4 linked regions of the Notamacropus eugenii genome follow. The protein of the gene in region 2 interacts with the protein of the main gene of each other region in a pairwise test. Links are inferred from orthologs where the notes say so. Each region holds a gene or a part of one and is shown on either strand. Other genes may lie near its edges.

Region 1 (8,381 bases), about 28 Mb from region 2:
TTTTGGTCAGTGTAACCACTGATTCTGTGACCTTGAGCAAGACCCTTTACCCCTCTGATTATAAATGAAGAGGAAGGGTAGATCTAGATTTAGAAGTAACCTCAGAGACTGTCCAATCCAATCACTTCATTTTGTAGATGAAGGCACTGAAGTTCAGGGAGACTAAGACAGGTAATAAGCATCAGGGATGGGATTTGAACTAGACTAGATTTGATTCCAGATCCAGTGCTCTTCCCACTGCACCCAAGTGCCTTTCAATCATCTCTGAGATCCCATTTAACTCTAATAGTCTACCCTGCTGTAACTATGATTCAACCTCATTTACTCTGATACATGAACTATGCATCTGATTCCCAAATGGTTAAATATAGACAACTCTGAACAAAGTTGGGAGGTAGTATGATACTAGGGAAAGGACACTGTCACTTCCTGTGTGACCATGGCCAAGCCCACTTAATCTACCTTGACTTCAGTTTCTTCAATTTTAAAATAAGGAAGAGGGAGTTGGATGATAGGGGCTATGAGGTACCGTTCTGCTCCAGGCCTGTGATTCAATAATTACAGATTCACTAGATTTCCTCCTAAAGAAAGGCACCAGAATGTAGAGCAAAGCAAAAATCCAACTTTCGGTCTTTAGAAGGTGAAAATGGCAATCACACAGCAGGGTATACACATTATCAGCTACCCTCCTGATCACTGCACATACTGTACCATCCATAAAATCATCTACCATCAGACTACAGCAGTGAGGAAAGAAAAGTTCAGGCTAAAATGGCAGCCCAGTTGATAACTCTGATGTTGATGTATTAATCAAACATAAGATTGAATTGTGGGAAGTTACTTTTGACTTATGTATTATTTTCTTTGTGTAATTGTTTCACTGCATTTTTAAGGGACATGTATTACAGGAAAGCATGAGATTTGACATATAATGTGCATTCTTACAAGCCTTAAGACATGAACATGTGAAAAATGGTGCACTCTGTAAATGTTCATTAGGATTTTAGTTAGTTCACAAAAAACTTAATTTGCTTTAAACTTCATGGTAGATGGCCCTGTGCTTTCCCACAAAACCCATTTGGTGAAATGTGAGCCTTTGTTTCCAAGGCTCTTAACCCACAGGGCAAAACCCATAGAAACCTGTAGGCTCATGATGTTTTGTAAGGAAACCCATGCTTAGCCTGGATTCATCAAGATTCATCAGAGCATCTTAAGTGGGCTGTGAATACATCACAAATAGCAGGCAGTCCTATCACTCTATTTCTCTCACTCCCAAAGGCCTAGTATGGAAATCCTATGACTAGGTTTATAGGGGTTCATGCACTTTGCAGAACACATTCACTACCCAAGCAGCATCAAATTGCAACTGCAGTGGAAAACAGGAATCCTGAGACTGAAAGCAGGCATCTCTAGATGTCTGCTGGAGTTGTGCCTACTGATTAACGAAGACACCAGGGTCTAGGTTCTCTAGAATTCAATAGTGTCTGATTTTAGGTTAAAATTGCTTTCTCCCTATCAACAAAACCTTTATGCACATAGTAAGCAAGTGTGACATACCTCTAGAAACATGACACAGTTACTTAAAACTTTTCTGCACTTAAAAACCCAAATAACAAAATACACCTACCGTCTCTCCTTACATTTGAACCTTTCCTCAAATACATTCTAGCAATACTATGCAAATGTCACATTTAAAAACAATTACATGTATACACCCAGGGAGTGAAGGAAAAGTGTGGATTCTAGCCCAGACAAGCTCACCATCCATAACCCATTTTCCGTGGGAAACTTCTCTTTTTTTCTCCCTCAGTGTGCTCCTCTCTGTCTTATAACTGCTGGAAATAGCTGTTAGACATTACTCCAGAAAGATGACAGTTAAGTATTAAAATTTTAAATCCCAGAGGGAAAGAAGTTACAACCTGTACGTACATTCATAAAGGGCTGCCACCTCTGGGCTATGAGCCACAGTAGAATTGCACAACCCAAGTGCTACCCCAAAGAGAAAATGAGGAGGGGCGCAGAAGAGCCTGAACTAGGAGACACGTCTGAACTTCCTCGTCCCCCTCATGCAGCCCCCTCACCTTGGGCTGTCCAGGCTCGGAGGCAGACACAGACTTACCGAGGAGCCAGCCCAAAACGGGCAGGAGTTCTTCACCTGCGGGGAACTGCTCAGAGACAGCGCCCCGAAGCTGAGCGCCACCATGCAGCAGCCCAAGATGAGCTGTAGGAGCCCCAGGGACAGCAGCGGGCGGGCGGGCAGCAGTCCGGAGCCCGGGACCCCGGCGGCGGCCGCGGCGGCGGCGGCCCGGCGGGCGGACAGCGGGGGCTGCGGCGGCGACAGCACGGAGGCGGCCGAGGCAGCCGCCCCGCGAGGCCGCGCCGGGGGCGGCAGCCCTGCCCGCGACCAGCGGGGCCGGAGCGGGGCCAGCGGAGGCTCCTGGGCGGCGGCGGCCGCGGCGCCCGGACCGCCAGCCGGAGTCCCTGCGGAGAGTCCTGCCACCGGGCAGCAGGAGCCCGGGAGCACCACGGGCAGAGACATAGGTGCGGAAGGTGGGACGCTGAAGGGCAGGGGCTGGATCCCTGCTGGGTGGAGGGGCCCCGGAGCTGGAGGAAGAGGAGGAGGAGGCGGCGGCGGCGGCCGCGAGCACCACCCAGAGCGGGGCAAGGGGCGGGGGCGAAGGAGCTGTCCGAGCCACCGAGGAAGAGGGCGATGGTGACCTGGCTCCTGCGGCCGGGGCTCAGGCGGACTCGGAGCCCTGACGCGCGCCGGTCTTCCTAGCCCGGCTGGCTCTTCTTTACCCGGGGCTCCCGCCGGGCTGCTGCTGCTGGGGCCGCCGGACCCACCCAAACCACCTGCCGCCCCGGACCGTCTCCTCCCTCCCCCACACCGACGCCGAAATACTTGGTGCTGCCGCCGCCCACGGTCAAGTGCACGGGCACTGGCGCGCTGTCCCCGCTGCTCAGTTACAGCCCAAGGGGGTGAGCCAGCCTCTCACGGCCGGCGTCCCCCTTAGGCGAGCGGGCGGGGAGGAAGGCTCTGAGCTTGAAGTTTTAAAATAACTCCTCCTGCGGTGGCAGGGACGGCCACGGGAGCAGTTGGATTGCGTGGCGGGTCTTGGCTGCCGGCCCCTCTAGAGGGGCGGGGGAGATCCTGGGAGAGAGCGAGCGGTGAGGGGTAAGGCGAGGAAAAGAAGGGAGACTGGGTTTGCTTGGCCGCCGCCGCTCTGCAAGTGCCAAGCGGGAGCCGATCTGGGTCCCAGCCGCGTCTCTACCTCCGAACCGGTGTCTCGCTGGAGTAGGGCGGTCTAAGGATGACCTCACAGTCAGCTCTAGCTTCCCGGCCACCAGTCTGCGTCTCAGAGTCCTTGCGTTTCTAGGAAATCCTTTGGGCTGAGGAAGTCCCCGAACTGCTGGGCTCAGAGCCGGGAAGAAGAGGGAGACCTGAGCAGGCAGGGTCGCTCTCCAATCTCCACTTGTTGATGTTCTCTGCCTAGATGACAAAACCAGCTGCGCAGGATGTCACTTGGCATCGTTTCTTTAACCTGTTTGAGGGGTTCCTGTTTCCACGTGGGAGAATGGGTGGGGAGAACTGGGAAAAGACAGAGAGGGCCCCAGGGCTTCTAGATAGGAGCAAACAGTTGTACCCAGGATCAGTCAGCCACCGAAATAAAGCATCAGGAAGTAAGGGGTTGGGTGAGTTTATCGCTTACCTCCGGGATGAGAGGTCGCGAGTTCAGTTCCCACACCCAGCCTTGCTCGGGGCTTCTGGATGCTGATACTGCAGTACAGAACTGCAAGGGAGGGGCTGCAAGGAGGAAGATCTTGAAATGAGATATTCCACAGTGAAGTTCTTTCGGAACAACTCCCATTACCGGGGATGGGAGAAGCCTAAGGATTGGGCCGTCCCATCCAGGTATTTGAGAGAGGCCAGAGATACAGGTTTTCCTGTTTGTCTGTTCTCCACCTCCAGCAGTCAATATCAAGAAAGGAATTTCCTAGTGTCTGGAGGGACTGAGTGCATAATGAATGCTACATCCCTCTACCTCCCCTGACACTCCCTACTCCAAATTAATCATTCTTTGGTAGATAGATACAAGAGAGATTCTTAACCTTCCCAGGGAAAACCAAAACAAATGAAAATTCCAATCTATGCTCTTGAGTTCATTTGAATATTTGCCAGACACCTTCACATTTGCTTTTAAATATGACTTGTCCTTGATAAATGATTTACCCCAATAACATACAATGAGGAGAAACTTTAATGCTGCGAAAATGCTACTAAATCTAAGGAGATTTTAATGAGATTTTATGGTGGATAGAAGCAAAGGCAGTGTAATTTTGCAATTAAGTCGTATTGGGTGTTAAGGCAGATAATCTTAGGATGGGGGATATTCAGTGTCCTCCAGTTTAATGGATTCCTAGGATTTAAAGCCGAAAGGGACTTTAGAGGTCATCTAATGAAACCCTCTCATTTTACAGACTAGCCTGAAGCCAGAGAGGGTAAGTAATTTGACTTGTCTCTGTCACACAATTCATAAGCGTAAGTATCAGAACCAAGATCTGAGCCCCTCCAACCTGCCTCCAACCCAAATGGTTACACTCCACCAAACTGCTTCTCATATAAAACTTCCATTTTCTTTTATAATTTAAGTATGGCTAGAAATTGTATTGACTTCATCATAATTTATGACTGTAAATATATGACATACTTACTGCCAATGAGTTTGCATACAAAATTGTAGAATTTCTGAAGTATACATTAATATATTTTTTGCCTTATTTGTTATTTTTAAATTTCATATCTTTAATTTTGGGAAGACATTTCCTTTACAAACTACTCTTGGAAGACTTAAATTTACAGAAATATAGAATGACTCAGAATAGATTAAATAGCTCACACTTATAATCCCTGCTCCTAGGGAAGCTGAAACTGGTGAATCACTTGAGCTTGGGCATTCTGAGCAACACAAGGGCTAAAGCAGATGGTGTATCCCTACTAAGATTGGTATCAATTGGTACCACAGCCTGGGGTAAGGAGGCACCAAATTGCCTAGGCAGAGATCATCTTTCTGACCAGCTGAGGTCAGAAATGAAATAGGACAAAACTTTTCTGCCAATCAGCTGTGAGACCAGCCTTAAAGTAGCTGCTGCACAAAGATCAAGGATAAAAGGGGAAGACCAAACCAGCAAATAGATGAATGAATAACTCAGTAATTCAATGGATCTCTAATCTCATACATGCAAAATTAAATGAGATTATAGACCCAAATTTCATTTATAGAGATGCTTCACAAATCTTAAAACTAACTCTCTAAAACATCAGCCATTGTTATTATTTCTTGGGTACTCCCTTCAGTGGTGCAGGATGTAACCTGACCACATTCTGTCAGAGGCAGAGAGGATATACCCAGCAAGGTAGAATCTTCACTCTAGGTCTTTTATGATTACCAGTGTAAGGAGAATGTTGTGCACATTAGCCTCAACATGGTGTGATGACCAGTTTTGATAGACTTAGCTGTGCTCAACAATGCAATGACCAATTGCATTACAATTACATTCACATTGTAAGTGAATTACAATTCCAAAAGACTCGTGATGGAAAATACTATCCACATCCAGAGAAAGAACTATAGAGTCTGAATGCAATTTGAGGCATACTATTTTCTCTCTTTTTTTCTTTCTTGTGATTTTTCCCTTTTGTTCTGATTCTTTTTTCACAATGTGACTAATGTGGAAATATATTTAATATGATTGTGTATGTATTGCCTATATCAGATCGCATGCCATCTTGGAGAGGAAGAGGGGAAGAAGGGAAGAAATTTTGAACTCGAAATCTTATAAAAGTGAATGTTGAAAAGTAATAATTAGTTAATTAAGTAAAAGAAATAAGGATAGGAATTGAGGACACTTTCAACTAAAAAAAAAAGAGATACCTGGTGTATCAGAACAGGGCCTTGGATTGCCATAGTTTATAGATTTAGAGACAGAAATGACATTATAACTTGACTGCTTTGTCATAAGACCTAAAATTTAGGAACATGTAAGGCTGCTAGGTAATACATGAGTTCTCTGTCATAGGATCATAGATTTAGAGCTGAAAAGTACTTCAGAAACTATGTAATCTAACTCCCTCATTTTATAGATGAGGAAACAGAGGCTCTGAAAGGTTAAGTGAAATGTCTAAGGCTACATAAGCAGGTTCAGGATAAGCCTATCTTCTTATCACGCAATTCATATATATATATGTATATAAATATACATCCATATATGATAAGAAGAGATAATGCTGAGTTCTTGAATTCTCTATATCACTAACTTATAAAAATCATGGGGAGCAGGGAATATGCCCTTAATTCTATGTAGCTTTTCCCTCAGAAAATTATAGTATTTAATTTATACTGACAGCTCTATTAGCCATTTTTAAAAAAAGAGATATCAAGAATAATTGAAATCCACTGGAATACAGGAACCCCATTTAAACCACTGGCTTCAACCTCTTCTACCTAGAAGGCTAATTAATTGAATTTGCTCTGTTGTATATTCTCTTTTATAGGTGACCTTAGTGGATGATGGATTTAGAACTGGGAGGGACCTTAAGGATCATCCCACCTCGTCATTTTACAGATCAGAAAATTGAAGCTGAAAGAGTTATCCCAGGTCTCACTGTTACTAAACCTCAGAGATTAGGCTTTGAACTCGGGTCCTCTGACATCAGAGCCACTATTTGATTTTCACTGTTGCATATTGCCTCTTAAAGACAGTCATGTACTTCTACAATGAAGAATATCTTTTTTTTTAATACAAAAGAAAATGATCTGCTTCATTCTGCGATCAAATTCCATAGTTCTTTCCCTGGATGTGGAAGGTATTTTGCCTTAAGAGACCACTGGGAATTATTTAAGTTCTTGAATTGCAATGAAGTATGAAGCCTACCAGAGGGGCAGCTAGGTGGTACAGTGAATAGAGCACCAGTGCAGGAGTCAGAAGGACCTGAATTCAAATCTCACCTCAGACACTTGACACTCACTACCTGTGTGACCTTGGGCAAGTCACTTAACCCCACTTGTCTCATCCTGGGTCATCTCCAGTCATCCTGATGAATATCTAGTCACTGGATTCAGATGGCTGTAGAGGAGAAGTGAGGCTGGTGACCTGCACAGCCCTCCCTCACTCAAAACAAAGTAAAGCGCTAGTCATGTCATTATTTCTCTGATGGTGTGGTCTTCTTCAGAAATGAAGGACAAACACACACACACCAGAAAGATTCCTTACACACCATGGTTGTTGTTGTGTACAAAGTTCTCCTGGTTCTGTTCCTTCCACTCAGCATCAGTTCATATAAATCTTTCCAGGCCTCTCTGAAGTCTTCCTGTTCATCATTTCTGGTAACAGTAGTATTCCATTACATTCATATACCACACTTTGTTCAGTCATTCCCCAATTGATGAACGTCCTCTTGATTTCCAGTTTTTGGCCATCACAAAGAGAGCTGCTATAAATATTTTGGTACACATGGGGCCCTTTCTCATTTTTATGATCTCTTGGGGATACAGTCCTGGAAGCAGGATTGCTGGGTCAAAGAGTATGGACATTTTTGTAGCCCTTTGGGCATAGTTTCAAATTGCTTTCCAGAATGGTTGGATCAGCTCACGGCTCTACTAACAATGAGTTAGTATTCCAACTATCCCATATCTTCTCCAACATTTATCATCTTCCTGTTTTGTCATGTTAGCCAATCTGATAGGTGTGATGTGGTACCTCAGAGTTATTTTGATTTTCATCTCTCTAATCAAAAGTGATTTAGAGCATTTTTCATATGACTATAGACAGCTTTAATTTCTTCCTCTGAAAACTGTCTGTTCATATTCTTTGACCATTTATCAATTGGGGAATAACTTGTATTCTTGTACATTTGACTCAGTTCTCTATACATATTAGAATATATATAGTTCTCTATATATTTTAGAAATGAGGCCTTTATCACAGATACTAGTTGCAAAAATTCTTTTTCAGTTTTCTGCTTCCCTCCTAATCTCGGCTGCACTGGATTTGGTTGTGCAAAAACTTTTCAGTTTAATATAATCAGAGTTATCCATTTTGCACTTCATAATGCTTTCTATCTCTTGTTCAGTAAAAAATTCTTCCCTTCTCCATAAATCTGACAAATACATTATTCCTTGCTCTACTAATTTGTTTATAGTGTCAATCTTTATACCTAGATCATGTACCCATTTGACTTTATTCTTGTGCATGATGTCAGGTATTAGTCTATGCCTAGTTTCTGACACACTGTTATCCAGATTTCCCAGAAATTTTGGTTGAACAGCAAGTTTTTATCCCAGAAGCTGGGGTCCTTGGGTTTATCAAACAGTAGATTGCTA
Region 2 (7,862 bases):
AATTGACAAGATTTATCTTATTAAATTTATCTTTGCACAGCACTCAAAATATCCTAAAGTTTGTTGAATTTAAACATTAACTATTGTTTACTGAGAACTGACATTTAAACAGCTAACCACTTCGGATTCTGTGAGACCCACTGAAAAATACATTTAGTGCAAATTAACATCCACCTTAATTATGTACACATTAAGTACACAAAAAAATACCATCACCAAAACACAGCAGTAAGTACTCACTCTATCCAAGAGAAAGGCTCACATAGAAAGTGAAATAGTTTCTGCCCTTTGCTCACTTTTAAATAAAGGAAAAGGGCAGACTTAGACATGACACTATTTTATAAATACAAAATAAATTATTAAACAAATTAAAGAATATTATGTAGAACCACTAATGCCAAGCAATTTTTAAGTTATATATAATCTTATTTACTTAATAAAACGTATTAGCTTTAAAGGTCCCTTCTCTGGGGGCTTTTTCCCACCCCAAGGCAAGAAAATTTCAGGATAAAAACTGAAGTATAGGAGACAACACCCAAAATACCATGCCTAACCTAGAAACTTTAAGATATCGTCTCTCTCCATTCTCAGATTTGTAATTGCACTTTTTGTCCCTCTCCCATGAACATATCACATGATAATTTGTATCAGTTATTTGTGTCCCTGTCTTACCTTTTCTACTAGATGTAAGCTCCTTGTGGGAAAGAGAAGTGTCTTATTTGTCTTTGAATCCCCAGCTGCCTTGTAAATTTGTAGGTGGTTAATAAATATTTGCTGAATTGCAATGATCCTAACTTCTTTCTTAATCTCATTTTTGGATTGTCTCCCTAATGTCAAAAACAAAAACAAAAAACGGATAGAAGAACCTGTGGCAAACAGCTGTTTCCACTTTGGTGCAATTGTCATCCTAACAATTTGAGGTATGCCAAACAATGCCTTTGATAATATTTATTTTACTCCAATAATTAAACTGCCTAATACATATGGGTACCATTAATAATGGCTATGTACAGAAGAAAACATTCCAGGTGAACATGCATATTTCTAGGACTGAACAAGAACTGGAACCCAGGTCTTTAGATTCCAAATGCAGTACTCCAACTATACTACACTGCCTCCTAGAGTGCAACAGATAAAAAGGAAGAACTGTTTTATAAAAAAATGAAGTTGAATTTTTATCAACCTGAGGGCATAGTTCTTTAATAATTAAGAGTAAAAGCTCCAAGATTAAGAAATATTTTATTTCAAGATGGCCTTAGAACACTTTCTTCTAATGAATAGCTGTGAATTTTTCTCTCATGTACCTTTACCAAAAAAGGGTCGGTTCTGCAATTTCAACCAGTTTCATTGAAGAAGCATATTAAAAATCGACTTGTACAGTATTTTGACCTTCAAAAGAATTCTATTGTATTTAAAATTCTTAAGTCTTAAAAGGAATGTTATCTGTACTCTTGACAACCATCAAAGATCAGTGGATTTTCATCTATGCTAACACTGGTTTTACAACATAAAAAAAAGTTCCCAGATTAATATTTTAATTTCACGTATGCCTACCACTGAAAATAGGAAAGACCCTCATAGCCTCAATGTCAAAAACATCATCTATAGCTTACATAATTTGAGCTATAAAGTTACACTGTAGTTAAAAGACTGTTCCTTCCTGATTCCCTGCAGTAGAGTGCTGAAAGGAATCATCCAACTTAGTGAAGTGAGACTAGAGAACTGGAAAAGAGAATCCTGGGGCTTCACACTGTAATTTGGAGGTTCAATAGGCGGCACACTTGGCACTACACCCACTCCGTCCCGTCCAGAGTAAAGAACCCAGTCGGGAGATGTGAATCCACCCCTGACAAACCCCTGCTGATGGGCTCCTAACGCCTCCCGGTGGACGGCCTCCAGCTCTTTGGAGCTCCACACCAAAATTCAAGTCAAGGTTTGGGTTGTTCTGCTAGTTCTAGTTTTATTAAGCAGCGATCAGGTACTACATAGGTGGGGCCCAAACAACTCCGGTTATTCGTAGCACCAAGATACAGCGGAAATCAGATTTTAAATCGCTTAGCCAATCCTAATCAGTTTATACGGAATTCCTACCTCTAAATACTACCTAATAAAAACCCGTCATCCCTCGGATCAGCACCTGAGCTCAAAGAATGATTTTAAAAAACAAAACACCGGTGAAAGAAAATGCTTCACTTTTCTCCAACAGCCGGGTAGGAGTTATTCCTCCAATTTGGCCGGGTGCAATTTCTACGTCACCGAACCAAGAAAAAAGCTGTTCCGAGGGGTGGAAGCTATTCCAGCAGTCAAAAGGCACAACTGCACACGTGTTCCTCACCCTAAGCCTCCCTTAACCCTGTCGGCTCAACAGTCATCCCGAACAATGAAACTTTTCTGCCAGGCAGCTGCCCCGGGGAGCCGGAGCCCAGGCGGACCTCCGCCCCCGCCCCGAGCCGGTCCGGCCGAGTCCTTTGTGAAGGGAACGGCCGGGGACCGGCCGCGACACCCTCCCCTCCACGCCGGTCGGAACTACCCGAGGACGGGGGAGGCCCGCGGGCGGGCGCTCCGGGGCCATCCCCTCCACCCGGCCCCGAGGCTCGGCCCCGGGCCTGGAGACCGAGGCCGCCCCCGGCGCCGTCCCCATCCCGCCCAGGCCGGGGCCCCCACCCCAAGCCCGCCCGACTCGGGCGTTCTCCCGCGTCCAGTCCGGCCCTCGACCGAGCCGCCCCGGCTCCCCCGCGGGCGTGCGTGTCGGCGGGCCGGGAGGCGGAGGTTACAGGCCCGGGGAGGGGGCCTCACCTGCTGGACAGAGCTGGTCTCTGGCACCGCAAACTCCTCCTTCTCCTTCGGGGTCTTCACAGTGACTTTGATGATCTTGGGGTCGCCTGAGGGGGTCGCGGCACCATCTGCTGCAGCGGGGCCCGAGGGGCCGCTGCTCTCGCCGCTCTCGGCCATGGCGGCGGCGGTGACTCAGGCGAGGAGCGAGGCCTCGCTGCGGCGGCGGCGGCGGCGGCCGGGCCCGGAGGCTGAGGGGGGTGGGGGGAGGGGAGGGACGACGACGAAGGGGGGAGGGGGCAGCGGTAGGAAGCCCCCCCCGCGGGGTGAGGCGCTGTGGGGGCGCTGGCGCAGGCCCGGCCCTTGGCGGCTGCTGCTGCTGCTGCGGCCACCGCTCGGTCCTCCGATCCCGCTTACACACTCACTCGCTGCGCGACACCCGCCGCCGTCGCCGCCGCTTCCTCATCCCCCGCCCCCTCCCTCCCCTCTTTCCCTCCTCCCCTCTGCCCTCGGCGGCGCCGCGCGAGGCACGCTGGGAAACGAAGCCGGCGTCGCCGAGTCACTGTGGGCCGTCACGGGCTTTTAGTTTCCATCCTCTCGCTGGCCTGCCTCCCCTTCCCGTCTTCCCTAGGCTGCTAGACACACAAACCCTCCACCGCCGGAGCTAAGACGTTTCTAGTAACTTCCCCGGGCACGGGGAGAGCCCTGGGGTCTGTTTTTGCCTGTGTGTGTGTGCTTTTCTCTTCAGATGAGCAAGCGTAAAGAATGAAAATGCCAGCCGCCGTGGCGTCGCACGGAGATGACATCACGGGCCGGGGAAGTTACTAGAAAGGGGACTCGTCCAGGAGGCGGGGCGGGCTGGCGTGCGCCTGCGCGAATGCTTGCTCCGCGGTCTTTGCCCCCGGTGCCCCTAACCTCGCACACCTCCGCGTTACGTCTCCTCTCCTACCCCGTCCCTCTTCCTTCCCCACCGTCCCAACGCTTCTTCACCTAGGCCTAACCGAAGAAGCGAGCGGTGGTTTGTGTCCCCGTCTGCTTGCGACGTCACAAGAAGGACGCCTCTACGGAGGCCCGGGGGGGTGTGCAAATGCGCTTTAACGCGTCTGCCCCCCCCCAGCGCCGGGGGCAGAGAGGTCCCCGAAGATGCCCGCGACGCCCTCGGGCCGCTCTGACGCCGCCGCCCTGCCCGGGCTCTTGTCCCTCCGCGCGGTTGGTCCAGCCGATCGGACCCCTTGTGTTAAAGAGCGCCCCCGCTCGGCCCCGTCCAGGCCGCAGCCCGCAGCCTCCTTCCGGCCGCTTCCCCGGGGCTGGGCTGAGGTGGCCGGGGGCCCGCTCGGAGCGCGCCAGGCCGCTGCCGGCTTCGTTCCGTTCGGCGAGAAGGTGGCGGCCTCCTCCCGCTCCTCTGCTGCCGAGGACGGGTGAATGTCCGAATGGCCATTTTGTGGGTCAGTGAAGGACGGATGTTAAAATAGCTGAGTAAACTTATAATGGGTTTTTATTTTCTGGGAATCCGTAGTTGGCCGTTTAACAGCTTGACAATTTTTTTTTACTATTTGCAAACAAACCATTCCTTCACTTTTAGGAGCGGCCCATATGAGAATGCCCAAACTTTGTCACCAGAATAAGAAAAAAGCCCGAGCGGGCTCCACGTCCTCCCCTGCACGTCGGTGCTGGAGGTGCTGAAGGGGCACTGCCAGGGGAATGCCCTCTACGACGTGAGCTGCCCCCGGGAGAACGAGAGGACCCCAGCGCTGGCCTTGGAGGCCAGGGACGGCAGCTCGGGCTCGCTGGTTTTCAGCTGAGCTCCTGCCTTCTGGTGTTAGGAGGATATCGAGTGATCAATAATGTGATTTCTGCTTTCCAGCCACCGAATCGTGTCTTACTCATCCTTACGCCTCAGTTCTGATCGACCCAACCGTATTCAATAAACATGAAGCCCTAGGATGGGCCTGATGCTTTAGTCCGTATCCTTCCTCCCAGGGGATACAGAGAAGGAAAAGGAAGAGAATTTGAAAAGAAAGAGCTCTGACAACTCTAGAAGGTGGCACCTGAGTGGAAACGTAAGGAAAAAGAATAGGCAGAGGCGCGGAAGGGACGTAGGACCGTCTGGAAGCACAGAGAGGATTACTGAGGACATGCTCTAGGCTAGTGCAGCTGGAATTTGTGCAGAGGAGAATGAAATACCTGAAAAGGTAGTATAACCTGGGCTGGTCCAGGCATGGAGAAAAGACCTGAAGGGCCTCTGGAGCACATCTGGATTGCCTACCATGGAGCACTTTGGGTCCCCTACCGTATGGGGGTGCGTGTAGCCTCCTTTGATGGACTGACTGCTTCCTTAAACCTAGTCTGCTGAGCCTTGGCCTCTTTGGCCATGCTCTTCTCTGCTACTTCCCTTTTGGCAACCCTTGTCTGCTGCTCACAAGTCATTAACTGACTTGATAAGAGAAGGACTGTCTTACTTCTCCCTCTCTTTTATCCCTGTTCCGAGAAAGGGGATGGGGAGAGGGGGAGGTGTTTGTATTCTGTGTTGTCCCTGGTTTTGTGTCAAGGGGTAATCCCCACAATACCAAGAGTTCTAGCCGTGGTGACCTTGGAACCAGGATTGCAGGCTGGATGGTGCATTTCAAGGTCTATAAATCTATAGAGCTATAAATCTACTTGATTTCACCTTAAAGGAACAAGATACACACACCCACCCACACATCCCTTCCACCTTCCTGTTGTGTATATATTGAATTGCAAGGTCCTTATACCGAGCATTTGCCTTTCTTTTTCTCATTGGTATTCCCATAGATTAGTACAGTGCCTGACACTTAGTAGGCACTTATGAAACATTTACTGAATTAATTTGACTAACCCAACTAGCATAAGAAAAGTTTTCAATTAGAAAAAAATCTTTTCATCAATTTCATCAATTATCTCTAAAGGTCTGGATATCCAACGTTACCGACAACTCATTGAAATATGGAACACCAAAAGCCATTGCCCAACTGATATATGGTCAAAGGATAGGAACACAATTCTGAAGACTAGCTAAGACTATTTACAACTATATGAAAGATTGCTCCAAATCCCTAATAAGAAACACAAAACAAATTTGAGATTTCAGCTCATCCAGCAAATTGCCAAATGTAAGGGTGGGATGATTTATTGACCCAACCTCACCCAACTTTAAGTAAATGACAAAACCCAATCCAATCACGTTCAGTCCTAGACCTTTAGCCTAAGCCTGAAAAGGCCTCTAAACTGAAATGAGATGGCACAAGAATTGTTATTTGGATAGGCTGAGGAATCTGGGCCACACCCTAGAGGTTGTCTGTATATTTTAGCCAGCTAGTTGAGAAGAGATAAGTTCTGAAGCTCACAAGCAAACATGACATTTAATTAAAACCCATGGAAAAGATCCTGTTATGGGAAAGAGGGAAGAAGGCTTGACTCTAGTGTTAGAAATCCCCCCAGATTTTGACCAGAGGAGGAGCTTGTGTGCTTCAAAAGATTCAGAGGATTTTGGACCTCTCGTTTTCCCTTAGGTGTCCTAGCTGCATCTGCATTAGAAACCTGAGACAGATGCTTGGGGGATGCTTAAGGGGAACTTCTTGACCACCCTAGAAAAAAGGGGAAAAACTTGTAGCCATCAAATTCTGAGTTACTCTTTGCCATATATGCTTTCTGAGACTGACCTCACTTTATTCTGGACTCTGTATGTACTTGTGGGAGAGTGTGTCATAGTTTTGGGGAGGTGTTTGTACCAACTATTTTTAGTGTATCACCTTAATAAATTTAGTAAATACCACTTTTCTAAAAGCTACTTAAGGCTGGCTGACTAAGGGATTCTCAGGTTCTTAGGGGGAAACACACCAGTGAGGGGCTAGGTATTAGAGAATAACTCGATTCCTCAGTGTGTATGGCCCTAAAGGTAGAGTTGAAGATTTGCTTTGGAACTTAAGATTCATCTGTGAATGTTGAAATGAGAATCCACAGAACTGTGATGGGAGTTAAAAAAAAAATCTTCCCTGATAATTAATAGCAGGTGGGGCTATTGAAGGAGGCTTGTTTTGTATGCAGGCCCACCACACCTTTTGGTAATGAGGCACTGATGCACAGCGACTGAAATGAGGTTTAGCTTTGGGGCTCAATCACTGGAAGAATGTTCCTGTGATTAGGCCAGATGAGACTCTGAGAAGCCCCTAAGGAGACCTCAGTTTTAAAAATCCAGATGTTGGTGCTTGATTCTCTGGTAGCTATGCATGTGTGGAATGGTCAGACACTTGGATCTGTCTGTTGATCTGTACTGTATGTATGACCTATGGTCAGACAGTTGGAAACCCTGTCTGCTGGTCTTTGCCATCTTCTCTGTTTGTAATTTCTGTTTGTATTTTCTCTGAAGTTCAGGGTGCTGACTGTTTCCCCTAAACTAAGTGAATGATATATGTGTTTAATTAAAGTGATTGCTGACCCCTTAAAAGTTGTTTTCCTTTTAGAAAAGCAGATCTGAGAATCTGTACCAGCCTGTTATCCTGGATGTCAAGGTGCTTGCTGTTACAAGAATATAGAAAAAGATGGGAATAGTCAGTGTTGGAGCTATGGAAAGATAAGCACTATTAGGTGGAGCTGTGAATTTGTCCAGTCATTCTGGGAAATGGTTTGAAATTACATAATAGAAGATTATGTACAGGCAATGAACAGGGTGTAATGGGTGGAATGCTGTGCTTGGAATCAGAAAAACCTGAGTTTAAATCTCACCTCAGACCCTTACTACTTATGTGACCATGGACAAATCATTTTACCTCTCTGGATCTCAGTTCCCTCAGATAAAAGACAAGAGCGTTGAACTCTAAGATCCCTTCCAGTTGTGAATTTTTGAGGCTAAAATACTATTACTCTGTCAGAAAAAATGAATACGTTAGGCATAGAAGATTTATCTGAACTAACACAAAGTAAGCTGAATGAGGAAAACAATACACATAACAATTACAACAGTGTGAATGGAAAGAAAACCTCAAAAATTAAAACTATACTATATTTTTATAATAACCAAACTTGGCACCAGAGATTTAAGAATGCATCTTCCTCCCTTTTTTTCTAAAGAG
Region 3 (8,243 bases), on a different chromosome or scaffold from region 2:
GCCAGGAGGTATGGGTGAAATGGGAAAGAATTCCAAGCCAGTGGACAGCCATTGAAAACAAACAGGTTTGGGAGATAGAATATTTTATGTGAGGAAAGATAAAGAAGCTATTTTAACTAGATTATAGAGTAAATGAGGGCAGGTAGGTGGTACAGTGGATAGAATGTCAAGCCAAGAGTCAGGAAGACTCATTTTTGTGAGTTCTCCTCTGGCTTCAGACACTTACTAGCTTGGCAAGTCACTTTATCCAGTTTGTCTCAGTTTTCTCATCTACAAAATGATCTGGAGAAGAAAATGGCGAATGATTCCAGTATCTGTGCCAAGTAAACTCCAAATGGGGTCACAAAGAGAGGCACACGACCAAAATGATTGAATAACAGTAATAAACTTGTGGTGGGGAGTTAGATGTAAGTAGATTGGAAATGTAGGAAGAAGCCTGGCTACAAAGGAATTTAAAAACCAAAATCAGATTTTGTATTTGATTCTAGAGTCAAGAGGGAGCCACTGGAGTTCATTTAATTGAAGGTTGTTAACATGGTCCAACTACCTGTGCTTTGCAAAGCTCACTTGGACGGCTGAGTGGAGGAGAAAGGGAAATGGAGAGAGACTTGAGGTAGGCTAACCATTAGGCTATTGGAATAGTCTTGGCATGAGGTAATTAGGGTTTTTACCAACATGGTGGTAGTGTGAGAAGAGAGAAGAGGATGTGTAGAAGAGATGTTGTAAGGTAAAATCAGTAAGTCAACACTCTCCAATTGCCTATAGGATACCTAGTTCAAAATGTCTAATAGGCAATTGGAGATTCTAGAATGGAAGTCAAGAGAAAGGTTATGGCTGGATAAATAGATCTGAGAATCATTTGTATAGAGATGAGAATTGAATATACAGGACCTATGAGATCACCGAGCAAGGTAATGTAAAGAGGAAAGAGAAGAGGTCCCAGAAGAAAGACTTGAAGGATAATCAGGTGCACACTCAACGAGGAGACAGAAAAGGAGACACTAACAATTAAATAGTGACCACAATTAGTATTTATACTGTACTTAGATGTCTGTAAAGTCCTTTGTATATGTTATCTCATTTGATCCTCATAACAACTCTGTGATGTAGCTGATATCAGCCCCATTTTATATATAAGGAAATTGAGGCTGAGAAAAGTCTAGTGACTTGCTCAGGGTCACTCAGCTAAATCAGTGCCTGAGGAAGAGTTTGAACTTGTCTTCTTGACAAGCTTTCTTTTTCAGTAGACTGGATTGGTGCTGGCCAACTATATCATAACTCCTTTCTAGAGTATAAAATCCAGAGTCATGATGAGTGTTGCTACAAGTAGCTTTCACTGATGCAACAATTTAGAAAAACAAAACATATATTTTTAGATTTCATTTCATACTGAGTAATAAACTCTCAAAATACAAAGGGCAAATACTCTTAGACACATTCTACAGATGAGAAAAAAAATCCCTTCCAGCTCTGACTCCACTTTGGGGAAAAATCATTCCCATTTCCTGATGAATTGCAGCACTTCCTTCTCAACCTTCCTTCCATTAGGAAGTTAATCATCATCTTTTGTTTCACTTGGCTGGTTTCAGGAATTGCTTCTGGGCTATTTAAAGGACTGGTGTGACCAGACTAACACAGGACATGGAAGACTTTACTTTCCCTCTTTGAAACTCTAGAGATTAGCCTTAAGACTTGCTGGGTGGGGGAGGAGTGGCAGAATATTTCCAAAGAATTAATTAAGACTCAAAAGGCATTTGGCAGAGTTTGAAACTGATTTCCTGACATTTTGCAATTCAGTAGCTTTTCTGAAAAAGAAAAAAATGCAATTCATAATCATTTGTCTGAACGAATGGATTTATGTCATGTACTTAGGCCTTAAGAACATGTGACAGTCAGCAGCCCTTTGATAAATCACAGTTCTTGGAAGTCAGTAGGAAAATGTCACCATCTAACAGAAGTTGCATTTGTATGTATATGTGTGTCTTCATAATCAGCTTTATAGACTTAATTTAATTTGCAGATAAATGACCTGTATTTAATAAAGACTTTAATGGAATGTTATTGTATGAATCTCATTCTAAGAAATGAAAGCCTATTTATTTGATTTTCTAGGAAACAAGGCTTCTCAGCAGCAGCAGGGGAGAGGAAATGTAGTGATTGTGGAACAGAACGACTTGGGTTTGAATCATGACTCTGACACCTACTGCCTCACCTGTAGGAACATTGGACTGATCCTTTCAGAACCTCTGAGGACCTCAGTTTCTTTATCTGTAAAGTGAGCGAGTTGGACTCAATGAGGCACTCCTAGCTCTAGATCCTATCTTCTCTCTGGTTCTGTGTATCTTTCCCTCTTTGCCTTTGCTCCTTACACACACACACACACACACACACACACACACACACACACACACACACACACCTGTATCATTCCCCAAACCACTTTTGCACTGAGTGGGGAAACCATAATCTTCTCCTCCTGAGATAAATGGACAGTTTGATAAAGGTCCCAAGCAAATCTATATTTTTGTATCTTTGCCATTTCTAGTCACAGGCTCATAGTATATGAATGCTGGATTTCTCTTTTAAAAAAAAATTCTTCTCTCAGGGACCTTAGATAACACAGAGTCTTGCTGCTTCCTTTAAAAATTAAGGATCTGAAACCTGAACTGATATGCCTAAAGTCAAACAGGCTCCAATGTCAGTCAGGATATAAACCCAGACCCTTTGTCTTCAAAACAAGGGTCTTTCCACTCTTGCACACTCTCTAGAGAGCCCCAAAACCTTTTATGTCACTATTTTTGGATACCTCATACTTGAGTTGGCAGATCTGCCACAGAGAAAATAGAACATGATTCTCCCTAAGGAAATCTCACCAACTGAATCTTCTTGAAGTCTCAGAGCTCTTCTTATCTGGTGCTGGGCTTTTCCTTTAGCCCCCATCTGTACCATTCCCAAAACCAATCTTGCACCAACTGGGGAAAATATAATATTCTCCTCATAAGATGAACAGATGGTTTGATAAAGGTCCAGAGCAAACCTATCATTGCTGTCCGCCAAAAGACTGGAACTGTGAATCCGGATGAGGAACGGTCCACAAACGGTCAGTAAGAATCTCCAAAACCTGGTCTGAGTCATAATCATGCCTGTGCATTGGGAGAATCAAAATTAAGTGGACAACAAAATACCAAAAAGTCACTGAATTTAATTATCAAGAAGAACCTTCCATTCCCAATGGACAAGATAGTGATGTAGAGCCAACAGAGTCCCTGTAATTTGGGGTTTTCTCATCATACATCTTTATTTTTAGGAGGAACAGGACTGGTGGATTTAATCTTGTTTTCCTTGTCACTATTTTTAAAATGTTTCTTGCATCTGCTACTCTGCCTGGTTTGAACTCCTTCACAAGAAGCCCCTGCACCAGATACCCACTCTCCATTCTCCTGCTTTTTTGTGTGAGGGGTCTCCTCCTTTGTATCTGCAGCCTCAGTACAGTGCCTGGAAATAATAGGGGCTTGATAAATGTTTATTAGATTAGATTGGATTGAAAGTCTCAACTTCTGACTTCATGAGTGCAGGGTACTTTTGAGGAAGATCAGCCACTCATCTGTAACTTACCTAGAGAGGTGCCTGGTGACTGAGTACATTAGAAATTACTGGTAGATTTATTGGTCATTTTTCAATGTAGTTTTTCCCAAGGGGCCATGGTTCTGGAATTTTGTCAGGAATTCTGTTCATTCAGAATGATCCCTTCTCATCCTTCACCACATTTGTGAGATGCTTTTCTAGAATTTTAATATCAAAGTCACTAGAGTTCCCTAATTTGAATTAGTCTTATGTGTTATGGCCTGAGAAGAAAAATGATCTCAAATGGACACAATTTGAATGGATTCTAGCTACTGCTGACATTACAGAGTTGCAGTTATATAGTTCATTGGAATAATACAGTTTTATATGTACAGATAGTTGCAATATTAGAAGTCAAATTCTTTAAAAAAAACTAATCCAGGTGCAACCATTGTTTGGATTATCCAGAATATGTTTTATATACTCATTTGAAAATCCCTTTGTTTTGGTGATCAATATCTCATGATAGGAAAGAGATATCTCAAGAGCATATTGAAAGAAATTTTGTTAAGAAAATGAGAGAATATTCTAAAGCACCAAACAAATATTTTATTAAGGAATAAATTGATACATATGGTTGTGGATGTTACTGTCTTAATGAGAAAATCAAATTGGCCAGAGAAGTTTCACATGCAACATTTTCTGTGAACAAATCTGTCCTGACATACTGAGAAAGAAGGTTTTTTGTGAGGTTTCTGAACAAAACATCTGCTTGCTATTATGCAAATAGCTAAAAATGATACAAATGCTTGTAATTCATCTAATATCAACCCCATTAGGGATCTATTTTGCATCCAAGTACAAATTAGAATTACAAACAATATTTTTCAAGTGTGTAACATGTTTTATGTTGCTTGTACCATAATCTGAAAATCAAGCCACAAGCATTTATTAAGCTTCTACTGTGTGCTAAGTCCTTTGCCAGGCACTGGACCTACAAGACACAATAGAAATAATCCCCATTTTCAAGGAACTCACACTCTTTGGGGAGAAACAATATAAGCAAATATAAAATACATGATATCATTAACCCTAACAAACATAATTTGTATAAATATGATGCTCATTACAAGCTAAGACACTGTTCCCAATTGATAGTCAAAACATATGAACAGGAAGTTTTCAGACAAAGAAATCAAAGCTATCTATCTATAGTCATATGAGAAAATGTTCTAAATAACTATTTATCAGAGAAATGCAAATTAAAACAACTTTTAGGTACCACCTCATGCCTATCAGAGCAACTAATATGACAAAAAGGGAAAATGTTGGATGTTGGAGGGGATATGGGAAAACTGGGACATTAATGCACTATTTGTGGAGTTGTGAACTAATCCAGCTCTTCTGGAGAACAATTTGGAACTATGCCCAAAGTGCTATAATACCCTTTGATTCTGCAATGCCACTGCTAGGTGTATATCCTAAAGAAATAAAAAAAAATGGGGGAAATGACCTATGTGTATAAAAATATTTATAACAGCTCTTGTGGTGACTAAGAATTGGAAATTAAAAGGATACCTATCAATTGGGGAATGAGTAAACAAGCTGTGGTATATGATTGTAATGGAACATTATTGTGCTGTAAAAAATGAAAAGCAGAATGATTTCAGAAAAGCTGGAAAAACTTACATGAATAGATATAATGAAGTAAAGAGAACCAGGAGAACGTTGCACACTGCAATAGCAATGTGGCTCAGTGAAGAACTATGAATGACTCAGCTGTTCTCAGCAAAGACAATCCCAAAGAACTAATGATGAAGTGTACTATCTGCTTACAGAGAAAGAACTGATATTAATTGAATACAGACTGAATTGTGCAATTATTCACTGTCTTTCTTTCATTTTTCCCCTTTTATTGGGGTCTTCTTATATAAAATGACTAATACAGAAATATTTTACATGATTGCATACTTATAACATATCTTATTGCTTACCATCCCAGTGAAGGGAAAGAAGAGGGAGGGAGGGATAGAATTTGGAACTAAAATTTTAAATAAAAAATGTCCCACAAAATTGGGGGAAAAGATAAGACATTGGAAATCAGATTTATAATTAGAAAAGACCTTATATGCTATGGAGTTCAACCCTACCATTTCATAGCTGATGGACTAAGGAAATAAGAAGTTAAGACTAGTCACAAGACTAGTAAGTTCTTGAAGCAAGATGTGAACCCAGGTCTGCTGACTCCAAGTACAGGACTCTTTACTATTCCTCTATCAGACATTTCTAGGCATCAGAAAATTATCCCCTTCTAGAAACATTTTCACTTACCCCTGGAGTGGTGACAGCTGAGTAGGTCTGTACTTTCATGCTGTACAATTTGGTGAAAGGTCTTGATTCAACAACTTTGAATCCAAATTTGCTATCTAATTTCCATAGTGAAATCCATTAAGATGATAAAGTAATCCCTTAATTGTTAAAACTTCAATCATACTTCCTATACCCTCAGGAATTCCAACATTTTTCAATTCTGCCGAATCATCATATGGGGTCCTATCACACCCATATGTTACACTAAAGGAGTTTCAGGTGTGAGATCAACATACTTACTTTTAAAAATGTCCGATGGTTAGTTACTGGATGTTATGCTTAGAATGAGCTTCCTGGGAACTGTTAAGAGCCTGGCTCTGTAGAAGGGCAAGGGCAAGTACATTTATCATGAAGGTTACTTGATTAATTTTTCCAAACTCACAGCAGGTGTTCAAGAATTCTGTTATGAGAGCACTAAATGATAACATTAACTGATTGCCCTTAAGAGGTGGAAGAACTGATAGAGAAAATCATTTCAATGAGTAATAAAAGGAATGGCACAAAAAAATGAACCGCTCAGAATCCATTGAACAAACGTTACCATTATTCTTCATTCTGTTTAAATTATGGCATGACTGGAAATTGAATTTGGAAGACCATGCAGTTGGTTCTGAATTGAACTAGTAGCTTATTCCTGTGGTTCCACATGAGAATTTAACACATTCCACTTGGATGCCATCATCAATATTTAATGACACTCATGAGAAAAGTAATCAAATCAAAAGTAATCAAAAGTAATCAAGTAGAACCAAGTCTAAAAGGGAATGCAGTTATATAGTATGACTGTATTTAAAAGAAAAGAATCTCTATCACATTATAGAAGTCAGGGTAGCTGGACTATGGGTACTGTCAACAGTGAGTGTGGACAATGTCCTTGAGAACTTTGCCACCTTAACTTTCAAATGGTCGTATTATACTATAGATCCATCGCAAACTTGCTAGTCACTAGGCTCTTGCACATAGTAACCATCTAAATGTGTTTTTTTCTAATCCATTCATTTGTTCACTAACACACCTAGCCATTTTTCAGGTAAGCTATTATCTCACCACAGATCCATTGTATTGTAGTTATTAATTTTAATTAAGATATACAGCTTTAAGTCCATCTTTATTAAATCTCTTGTTATTAGATACAGTACAACCTTCTTTTCCATACAGGTCTTTTGAGACCCTGTCTCTGTCACCTGACATATCATCTCTACCTCTTAACTGTTTCTTTACCCTTTATTCTTTTGCTTCTGTTACTCTCACAGGATGCTCTGTCTTCTCCTCACTCCTTGTCTTTTCACTGACTGCTCCCATGCCTGTAATTCTCTCTTCTCTCGTTTCTACCTCTTGGCTTCCTTGACTTTCTTTAAGACTCACTTCAAACCCCATCTTCTGCAGGATGCTTTTTACTTCTCACTATTTCTTCTCCTATTTTCCCTCTGAGATGACCTTCTATGTGTAATGTACATATCTAGTATGTATGTATAGTTATTTGCATGTGATCTCCACTATTAGACCGTGAGATCCTTGTGGGCAAGGATGGTGGTTTTCTCTTTCCTCTCTGTGTAGCCCTAGCACTTAGTACAGTGCTTAGGACATAGTAGGTGCTTCGTAAATGCTTGGTGACTGACTGTATCATCTTCCAATTTTATAAGCATGGTAAACATGCGTTGTCCAAATCGCTGATGAGGATATTAAGGAAACAGTGTGGGAGGATGAAAAGAACACTGACCCTGGAGACAGAGGACCGTAGTTCAGATCCTGCCTCTGGTATTTACCACTTATGTAACTTTGGGAAAATCACTTAGACTCTCTGGCCCTTGGTCTTCTCATCTGTAAATAAGAATGTTGGACTAGGTTGCTTCCAGCCAAGACTTAGAATCCAAGATTAAGCAGCACAGAGCAAAAAACAGATATCAAGGACATTTACTTGATTAAATTCCTACTATGTGCAAGCACTGAAGGCATAAAAATAACAGTGAAATATTATCTGCCCTTGCATTATATTATATTATAATATATTATTCATATTATATATATATATATATATATTATACTCGTTGTTTAGTCATTTTTCAGTCATGTCCAATTCTTCATAGCCTTATTTGGGGGTTTTCTTGGCAGAGATACTAGAGTGGTTTGCCATTTCCTTCTCCAGTTCATTTTACTGATGAGGAATCTGGGGCAGACAGGATTAAGTGACTTGTCTAGGGTCACATAACTAGCAACTGTCTGAGGCCAGATTTGAACTCAGGAAGATGAGTCTTCCTGACTCCAGGTCCAGGACTCTATCTGCTGTGCCATCTAGCTACTGTGAGGAC
Region 4 (7,755 bases), on a different chromosome or scaffold from region 2:
AATCGCCGTGCGCGCCCGCTGGAGGGGGGCGGCCGAGCGGTCGCGTCCAATCGGGTGGCCGGGGGCTCGGAGGCGTGCCATGCATACTGGGAACTGAAGTCCCCGGCGGAGTACATTGTGTTCCTCGCTAGGGCGTCTGGGAGCGGGCCGGGAGCGAGTTTTTGTTTGGCATCCCGGACCTTCCCGAGCCCTTATCACGGGACTGGGGAGAGTCTTCCCCCCGCTCCAGCCGCAGCGTGTGCGTGGGGAAGCGGTGGGTCATGTATACACTTGTCGCTGTGCCATCCGGAGGAGGGAATCCGGAGGATGTGAGGCGGTTTAAAAGCACATTCGGCGACCTTTAAATAAATTCGAGAGCGTTTACTAGGAGCCTACTTCCAGGCAGCTCCCGTCCGCTCTGGTCCCAGATTTCCAGCTCCAGCGGTCCTTTATTAGGCGCATAACGAGGTGCCCGCTGCGTGCAGGGACCGTGCTAAGAGCTGGTGCAAAGCAGCGCTTGTCCCCGAGGAGCTCACGCTCTGGGGAAACAGCGTGTGCAACATTGTATTCACGAGCTGTGCAGACTGGCACGCAACGTTCGGACCTTCGTACGGAGGGGCGCTCAGCGTTGCAGAGAAGGGACCCGCGGACGTCTTTTCTAATTTTTTCCTTAGGAGACACACTTTTGTTCCACGTTTTCTGTCGTGTACCACTCTCTGTGACCCCATTTAAGGTTTTCTTGGCAAAGATACTGGAGTGTTTTGCCATTTCCTTCTCCAGCTCATTTTACAGATGAGGAAACTGAGGCAGACAGGTTGAAGTGGCTTACCCAGGGTCACTCAGCTCTAGATCTGAACTCAGGAAGATGATTCTTTTTGACTTCAGATTGGTACTCTATCCACTGCACTACCTAGCTACCTCAGGGACAACCTTAATCATTCTAATGACACAGGTTCAGTAATTTTTTTAAAATCATGTCCGTTTACATTAATGTCATTGTCAGTAACGTTTTCCTGATTCCACCTCCTAAAGCTCAGGTCTGACCATGTCAACCTCCCCACCCCCTTCTCAATAAACTTCACTTTCTATTGCCTCCAGGATCAAATATATAACTGTCTGGCATTTAAAGCTCTCCGTAATCCTAGTTTCCACCTACCAGTGTTCTATCTTCTCCCTGATAGGTACCACAGTGACGTTGGCCTCTGTTGTTCAACAAATAGGACCCTGCATCTCTTAGCGCTGGGCATCTTCTACTGTCTCCCAAGAATGCTCCCTTTCCTCACTTCTGCCTAATGACTTCCTTTAAGTTCCAACTAAAATCGGAAGCCTTTCCCAACCCCTCTTAATTCTAATACTTTCTCTGTTAATTATCTCTTATTTATCTTGTGCGAATGTCTGTTCATAAATACATGTGTGTATATATAAATATATATATTTTGGCCATAGATTGATTTGTATATGTTATCTGCTGGTTGTCTACCCCTCTAGATTGTAAGTTCCTTGAGAGCAAAGACTGTCTTTTGTCTCTTTTTCTATCCCTATCCCTTAGCACAGTGCCTGGCACATAGCAAGCACTTAGTAAATGTTGATTGATTAATCGACTGGTTTCACCTTGCATCAGTTCATAAGTCTTCTCATGTTTCACTGAATTTCTCACCTCAGTCATTCTTAGGTTGCAGTAACAGTCCACCACATTCTTGTACCACAATCTGTTTAGCCATTTCGCAATTGACACAATTCATTCCTTTTACAGAGGAGGAAAATGACACCCAAAAAGCATATGTGCTTATCTAAAGATCATTCACTACTATCTGGAGAACTGACTCATCTCTCCAAGCCCCAGATCTTTAGAACCTTGCCTCTCTGGAGTCCTACTTGGCCATAGAGGCTGCATATTTCTATCTTTGTACCTGAAGGGTAGAATTCTGGACTTTCATTTTCTTTGATGTCATTGCTGACCTCACAAAATTGTCCATTTAGAAAATATTTATTTCCAAAGAATGGGGAAAATGGAGAGGAGAAACTGATCACCTGCTGATCACAAGTGACCTCTAACAAAGAGCCCCAATAATCCAGTTCATCCCCCAAACTCCAAAATACAGCAGATCAATTCAATTCAATAAATATCTACAGAAAAGGAAACCAAGGCTCAGAAAAAGTAAGAAAAATTCCTTACCCTAGGAGGGACAGGTAGAAGTAGCCAGGCTTTGATAAGAACCCAGATCCCCAATCTCCACATTCAGTGGGGTTTTCCATCAGCCCTGATGCTTTTCATGCACTTCCTATCTCTGTGTTATTGGGAGGAAAGGTACTTTGTAAACTCTGGAGTGGGAGCTGTTCTAAGTGTTATCATCCATCCTCCCAGGCAGACTAGATATCCTTGTTAATGTGTATGGGGGTGAGGATGGGGGTGAGGGGGGGGGGCAAAGATTGGCAGAACAATGGACTAAAGACTGATTTAGATTGGGATCCTGGGGAAGACAAAGAGAGACTGAGATCTTCACAGCCACCATCCTGGGAGAAGGTTCATACCTACTGGGGGAAGGAGAATTATTGCTCCAAATCAGTTTGTTCAGTCTCATTGAGTGACTCAAGGAGTCGACCAGAGCCTAGTTTGCAAGTGAAGGAAGGAAGAGGTGGTAAAGGGCAGGCTGGGAGAGGACAGTGTACCACAGCAAGACGAAATGAGCAAACGTATGTTAAAGTGCTGTATGAACAAGAACCCTACTCTTTGTTTCAGCTCCTCGGTGTCTGTTTCCACATCTGCAAAATAAGAATTATAACCATGGCACTTTTCTCACAGAGCTATTGTAAGACCCAAATGAGAAACTGTATGTAAAGTGTATTATAAACCTCCAATTCTGTTGTTGTTTTTGTGGTTCAGTCATTACAGTTGAGTCTGACTTTCTGTGACCCCATTTGGGGTTTTCTTGGCAAAAATACTGGAGTGGTTTGCCATTTCCTTCTCCAGCTCATTTTACAGGTGAGGAAACTGAGGCAAACAGGGTGAAATGACTTGCTCAAGGTCACACAACTAGTAAGTGTCTGAGGCCAAATCTGAATTCAGGAAGTTGAGTCTTCTTGACTCCAGACCTGATGCTGTGCTACCGAGCTGCCCCCATCCCTTATCTAGGGCCTTCCTTGTGCCAATTTGCCTTTGAAGGGAGGCTTCTAACCCAGTAACAAATTGTCCCTTCCACGTTTCAGGAGTTTAAGGTGTAATGGGGGTGATAAGTGGAGGCTGAGGTTTAGAATAGACTAAGTAGATGGGGGTTGGCCTTGGAGTCAAGACCAGGGTTCAAGAACAGCCTGTGACCCATCTTGGTTGCATGACTCTGGACCTATAATATATCCTTGTCAATGGCCCAGGGGACCTTTCCAAGACTATAAGTTATAGGTGATTTGAAGAAGTCCAACCAGCCCTACCATTTCCTCTGACTCAGCCAAAACCATCTTCTTAGCTGGTATGGGTCAGAGCAGGAAGGCATCCCTACTAACCCCAACTCTTCCTTTGACAGAGGAGGAAACTGAGGCCTTGAGGGTGCAAACAGCTTGCTCAATGTCCCAGAGTGGACCAGGAAGATTTCAAAGCTGGTCCTCCATTCCAGAGCAAGCCCTGAAGAATTGGCCCTAGTCAGGCTGATGCGATGCAACTGCAGAAGCCTTAAGAGTTACTCTTTATTTCATTGTCTAGAGTGTCTACAATAATTTAGCACATATATTTGTGGGGGTGTTTTCTCCTCATTAGATTGTAAGCTCCTTGGGGCAGGGATTATCTTTTGCCTCATTTTGCTCTGTTGCTTAGCATGGTGCTGGCACTTTCCCTCCTTTTTTGACTTGGTTTGCCACGTCCTTCTCCAGCTCATTTTGCAGATAAGGCTACTGAGGCAAACGGGGTTAAAGTTGAGTCTTCCTGACTCCAGGCCCCTAATTCTGTAAGCTATGCCTCTCTCCCCCACCCCCAGCTGCCCCAAGCAGGTGCTTAATAAGTGTTTACTGATAGACTGCGCCCCGCCCCCCCCCCGGGGTGTTTCCTGGCTGCATCTCCTCCACCTTACCCAACCCTACCCTACCCTACCAAGACCATACACAGTATACCGTAAACTCCAGGGGGGCAGGGGTTGTCTCCTTTTTCTCTCTGCATACACATCCCGGGCGCTCAATAAGTGGTGGAGGACAGAACTCGGGATACCATAAGCAAGCACGCCCTGGAGGCGCTGAGGTCCGCCCGGCCGGGCTGCACGTGCCAAAGCCCCGCCCCCGGCCCGGCCCCGCCCCCGGCCCGCCCTCCACCTTCCCCAAGCCCCGCCTCAACCACAGCCCCGCCCTACGCCTTCCCCAGGCCCTGCCCCCAGACATCAGCCCCGCCCCCAGGCCCCGGCTTTCTGTGCCTTTAAGACCCCTCCCCCCGGCGCCGCCCACATCCCTCTGACTTCACTTCCTTCGCGGCAGAGGAGTGGAGAGAGACGAGGAGGGGGAAGAGGAAGAGGAGGCAGCCCGCGCCCCCCGCCCCTAGCCATGGGCGCCCCGCTACAGCTCCTGGGCGCCGGCCCCACGCACCTCGCCCTGGGCTGCTGCTACTGCTGCCTGCTGCTCGTCGTCGCCTCTGCCTCCGCGGCGGGAGGGCTCGGAAAGGGTCAGACTGCCTGCACCCCCTGCACCTTCCCCCATGGAGCCCCTCCCGCACCCTCCCCCACCCTGCTGGACCCCCCCGCACCTCCCCCACCCTGCTGGATCCCCCTGCACCCTTCCTACCCTGTAGGAGCCCCCCACACCTCCCCCACCCTGCTGGACCCCCCTGCACTCTTCCCACCCTGCAGGAGCCCAGCTAACCTTCTCCATCCTGCTGGAGCTCCCCTGCACCTCCCCCACCCTGCTGGACCCTCCCCCCGCACCTCCCCCACCCTGCTGGATCCCCCTGCACCCTTCCTACCCTGCAGGAGCCCCCCCGCACCTCCCCCACCCTGCTGGATCCCCCTGCACCCTTCCTACCCTGCAGGAGCCCCCCCGCACCTCCCCCACCCTGCTGGACCCTCCCCCCACACCTCCCCCACCCTGCTGGACCCCCCTGCACTCTTCCCACCCTGCAGGAGCCCAGCTAACCTTCTCCATCCTGCTGGAGCTCCCCTGCACCTCCCCCACCCTGCTGGACCCCCCCCGCACCTCCCCCACCCTGCTGGATCCCCCTGCACCCTTCCTACCCTGCAGGAGCCCCCCCGCACCTCCCCCACCCTGCTGGACCCCCCTGCACCCTTCCTACCCTGCAGGAGCTCCCCCGCACCTCCCCCACGCTGCAGGACCCCCCCCTCGCACCTCCCCCACCCTGCTGGATCCCCCTGCACCCTTCCTACCCTGCAGGAGCCCCCCGCACCTCCCCCACGCTGCAGGACCCCCCCCCCCGCACCTCCCCCACCCTGCTGGACCCCCCTGCACCCTTCCTACCCTGCAGGAGCTCCCCCGCACCTCCCCCACGCTGCAGGACCCCCCCCTCGCACCTCCCCCACCCTGCTGGATCCCCCTGCACCCTTCCTACCCTGCAGGAGCCCCCCGCACCTCCCCCACGCTGCAGGACCCCCCCCCCCGCACCTCCCCCACCCTGCTGGATCCCCCTGCACCCTTCCTACGCTGCAGGAGCCCCCCACACCTCCCCCATGCTGCAGGACCCCCCCCCGCACCTCCCCCACGCTGCAGGACCCCCCCCCCCCGCACCTCCCCCACCCTGCTGGATCCCCCTGCACCCTTCCTACCCTGCAGGAGCCCCCCCGCACCTCCCCCACGCTGCAGGACCCCCCGCACCTCCCCCATCCTGCTGGACCCCCCTGCACCCTTCCTACCCTGCAGGAGCCCCCCCCCCCGCACCTCCCCCACGCTGCAGGACCCCCCCCCCGCACCTCCCCCACCCTGCTGGATCCCCCTGCACCCTTCCTACCCTGCAGGAGCCCCCCACACCTCCCCCACCCTGCTGGACCCCCCTGCACTCTTCCCACCCTGCAGGAGCCCCGCTAACCTTCTCCATCCTGCTGGAGCTCCCCTGCACCTCCCCCCTCCGCTGGAGTCCCCCTGTACTTCCTCCTGGGACCCTGGATCCCCAGGCAGTCCTGAGACTCCCCTCTCCAGATGCTGGAACCCCTGTACCTCTTTCTGCGGTCTTGGACCCTCCTTTTGGCTTCCAGGACTCCCCTTTTGCTGACGTGCCTCTCCTGTACTCCCCTCCCCCCACTGCAGTTCTGGACTACTCCCCCACCCTGTCCAACTCCCAGATTCTCCAGCCCCCCCTCCCCATTTTCCTAACGTCCTCTGGCTTTCTGAACTCCTGCTTTCCTTCTCTTGGGCCCCCTCTGCGCTCCTGGACTTCTCTATGAGCTTCAGGATGTCCTCCGGGCCCCCAGGCACCCCTTGAGCTCCTGGCACCACCCTGTGCTCTGCTCCTCCCCCAGCTTCTGGACTCCCCCTTGAGCTCTTGGGCTGGCCCTCCCCCCTTTCCCCAGGAGGGTTGGACTGAATGGCCTCCAACATTCATGTGACACTTTAAGGTTTGCAAATCAATTTATAGATACCATCCTACTTGTGATACCACCTGACTGTGTGACCCCAGCTAAGTCACTTAACCTCTAAGTGCACTAGGGGCAACTCTCTAAGGTTGTGAATTGCAGAGAAGGTAGCAACCAGCATTGGTAGAGGGACTTTCCTCATCCTGGAGTTCCCTATACTCATTCAATCACAGTTCCAGCTCCTTTTGCCTTTCTTTGTAGCCCTTGTGACTGTATACAGTAAGTACCCAGTAAGTGCTTATGGACAGAGTAACTTCCCAGAGGTGATATTATTATCCCTTTTTTATAGACAAGGAAACTGAGACTGTGAGAAATTTAGGTGCTGTGGGTCTGAATCAGGATTCAAGCCTGGTTCTTTCTGATTCCAAGTCAGCTATTAAACCCCAGAGGGGATGGGACAATTATGTATAAGCTACTTGTAAAAAAAAAACAAACCAAAATACCTTAAATTTGTGGAACTCTGGATACTTTGCCCAGTGGAGTAGTTTCTTCATTTTAACAATAATAGCTGACATTCATTCTGTAGACCCCCACAGGAGTGAACTCCTAAGATTTGGTGGAGGACAGCGTGTTGAGGTCTCAAGTGGATCAAAAGACTTGACTTGAAATCCAGTTTCAGACACTTACTAACTGTGTGACCTGGACAAGTCCCCTAATCTCCGTCTGCCTCAGTTTCATCAACTGCAAAATGGGGATAATATTTGTAAAGCACTTGGCAAACCTTAAAGTGCTACATACATGCTAGCTATTACAATTATTATTGTGAATATAAATCCTTGAAGTACTTTTAATACAACTTTCTCCCCCCCTTCACCTTCAGAGAAATCCTTGGACAGCAGAATGTAGGAGTCCTCATCCATTTTGGCAAGCATGGCCTTTAGTGAAGGTTCTGAGGACATGATTTTTTTAGGTCCCTTTGCCAATGACCTGAGTTAGTTAACCTCTGGGCAGGTGGCTGCTTGGCTAGAAGTTTCTCTGGAGATTGCACGTGGGCATCTCAGCAACTAGGCAAATACTGCTTCCTCCTAGGATTGGCCCTTCTCAGGCCATACTGGCCCCAGTTGGGTCCTGGATCTGTGGCTGCCGAGTGAAAGGGGGAGAGGATCCAAGGTCACTGTTTTCAGAGCTTGAAGGGACTCAGGGACTCATCTAGTGTGGCTCTGTTTGGGGGAGAGAGGTCCATAGCTTTTCTTTGGGGTTTTCAGACAGTTTAGGACAGATCGGG

What was found.
Region 1: the proteins of UBQLN1 (region 2) and ENTREP1 interact in a two-hybrid assay, tested with the Homo sapiens proteins (2 studies listed by BioGRID and IntAct). The link is inferred for Notamacropus eugenii from reciprocal best matches to the Homo sapiens genes UBQLN1 and ENTREP1.
Region 3: the proteins of UBQLN1 (region 2) and SERPINI2 interact in binary tests that used the Homo sapiens proteins (3 or more experiments, as listed by UniProt). The link is inferred for Notamacropus eugenii from reciprocal best matches to the Homo sapiens genes UBQLN1 and SERPINI2.
Region 4: the proteins of UBQLN1 (region 2) and TXNDC12 interact in binary tests that used the Homo sapiens proteins (3 or more experiments, as listed by UniProt). The two-hybrid records come from large-scale screens. The link is inferred for Notamacropus eugenii from reciprocal best matches to the Homo sapiens genes UBQLN1 and TXNDC12.

What each region holds. Positions count from the first base shown.
Region 1 is NC_092872.1:102,680,055-102,688,435, reverse strand, and holds the start of ENTREP1 (endosomal transmembrane epsin interactor 1), read right to left. Parts: upstream 3,658-8,381; 5' UTR 2,540-3,657; coding exon 2,120-2,539; intron 1-2,119. UniProt on the Homo sapiens protein: Functions as an activator of the E3 ubiquitin protein ligase ITCH in the ubiquitination of the CXCL12-activated CXCR4 receptor. Thereby, triggers CXCR4 endocytosis and desensitization, negatively regulating the CXCL12/CXCR4 signaling pathway.
Region 2 is NC_092872.1:74,443,537-74,451,398, forward strand, and holds the start of UBQLN1 (ubiquilin-1), read right to left. Parts: upstream 3,272-7,862; 5' UTR 2,953-3,271; coding exon 2,797-2,952; intron 1-2,796. UniProt on the Homo sapiens protein: Plays an important role in the regulation of different protein degradation mechanisms and pathways including ubiquitin-proteasome system (UPS), autophagy and endoplasmic reticulum-associated protein degradation (ERAD) pathway.
Region 3 is NC_092877.1:357,004,127-357,012,369, reverse strand, and holds the start of SERPINI2 (serpin I2), read right to left. Parts: upstream 3,460-8,243; 5' UTR 3,142-3,459; coding exon 2,874-3,141; intron 1-2,873.
Region 4 is NC_092873.1:512,180,798-512,188,552, reverse strand, and holds the start of TXNDC12 (thioredoxin domain-containing protein 12), read left to right. Parts: upstream 1-4,384; 5' UTR 4,385-4,497; coding exon 4,498-4,615; intron 4,616-7,755. UniProt on the Homo sapiens protein: Protein-disulfide reductase of the endoplasmic reticulum that promotes disulfide bond formation in client proteins through its thiol-disulfide oxidase activity.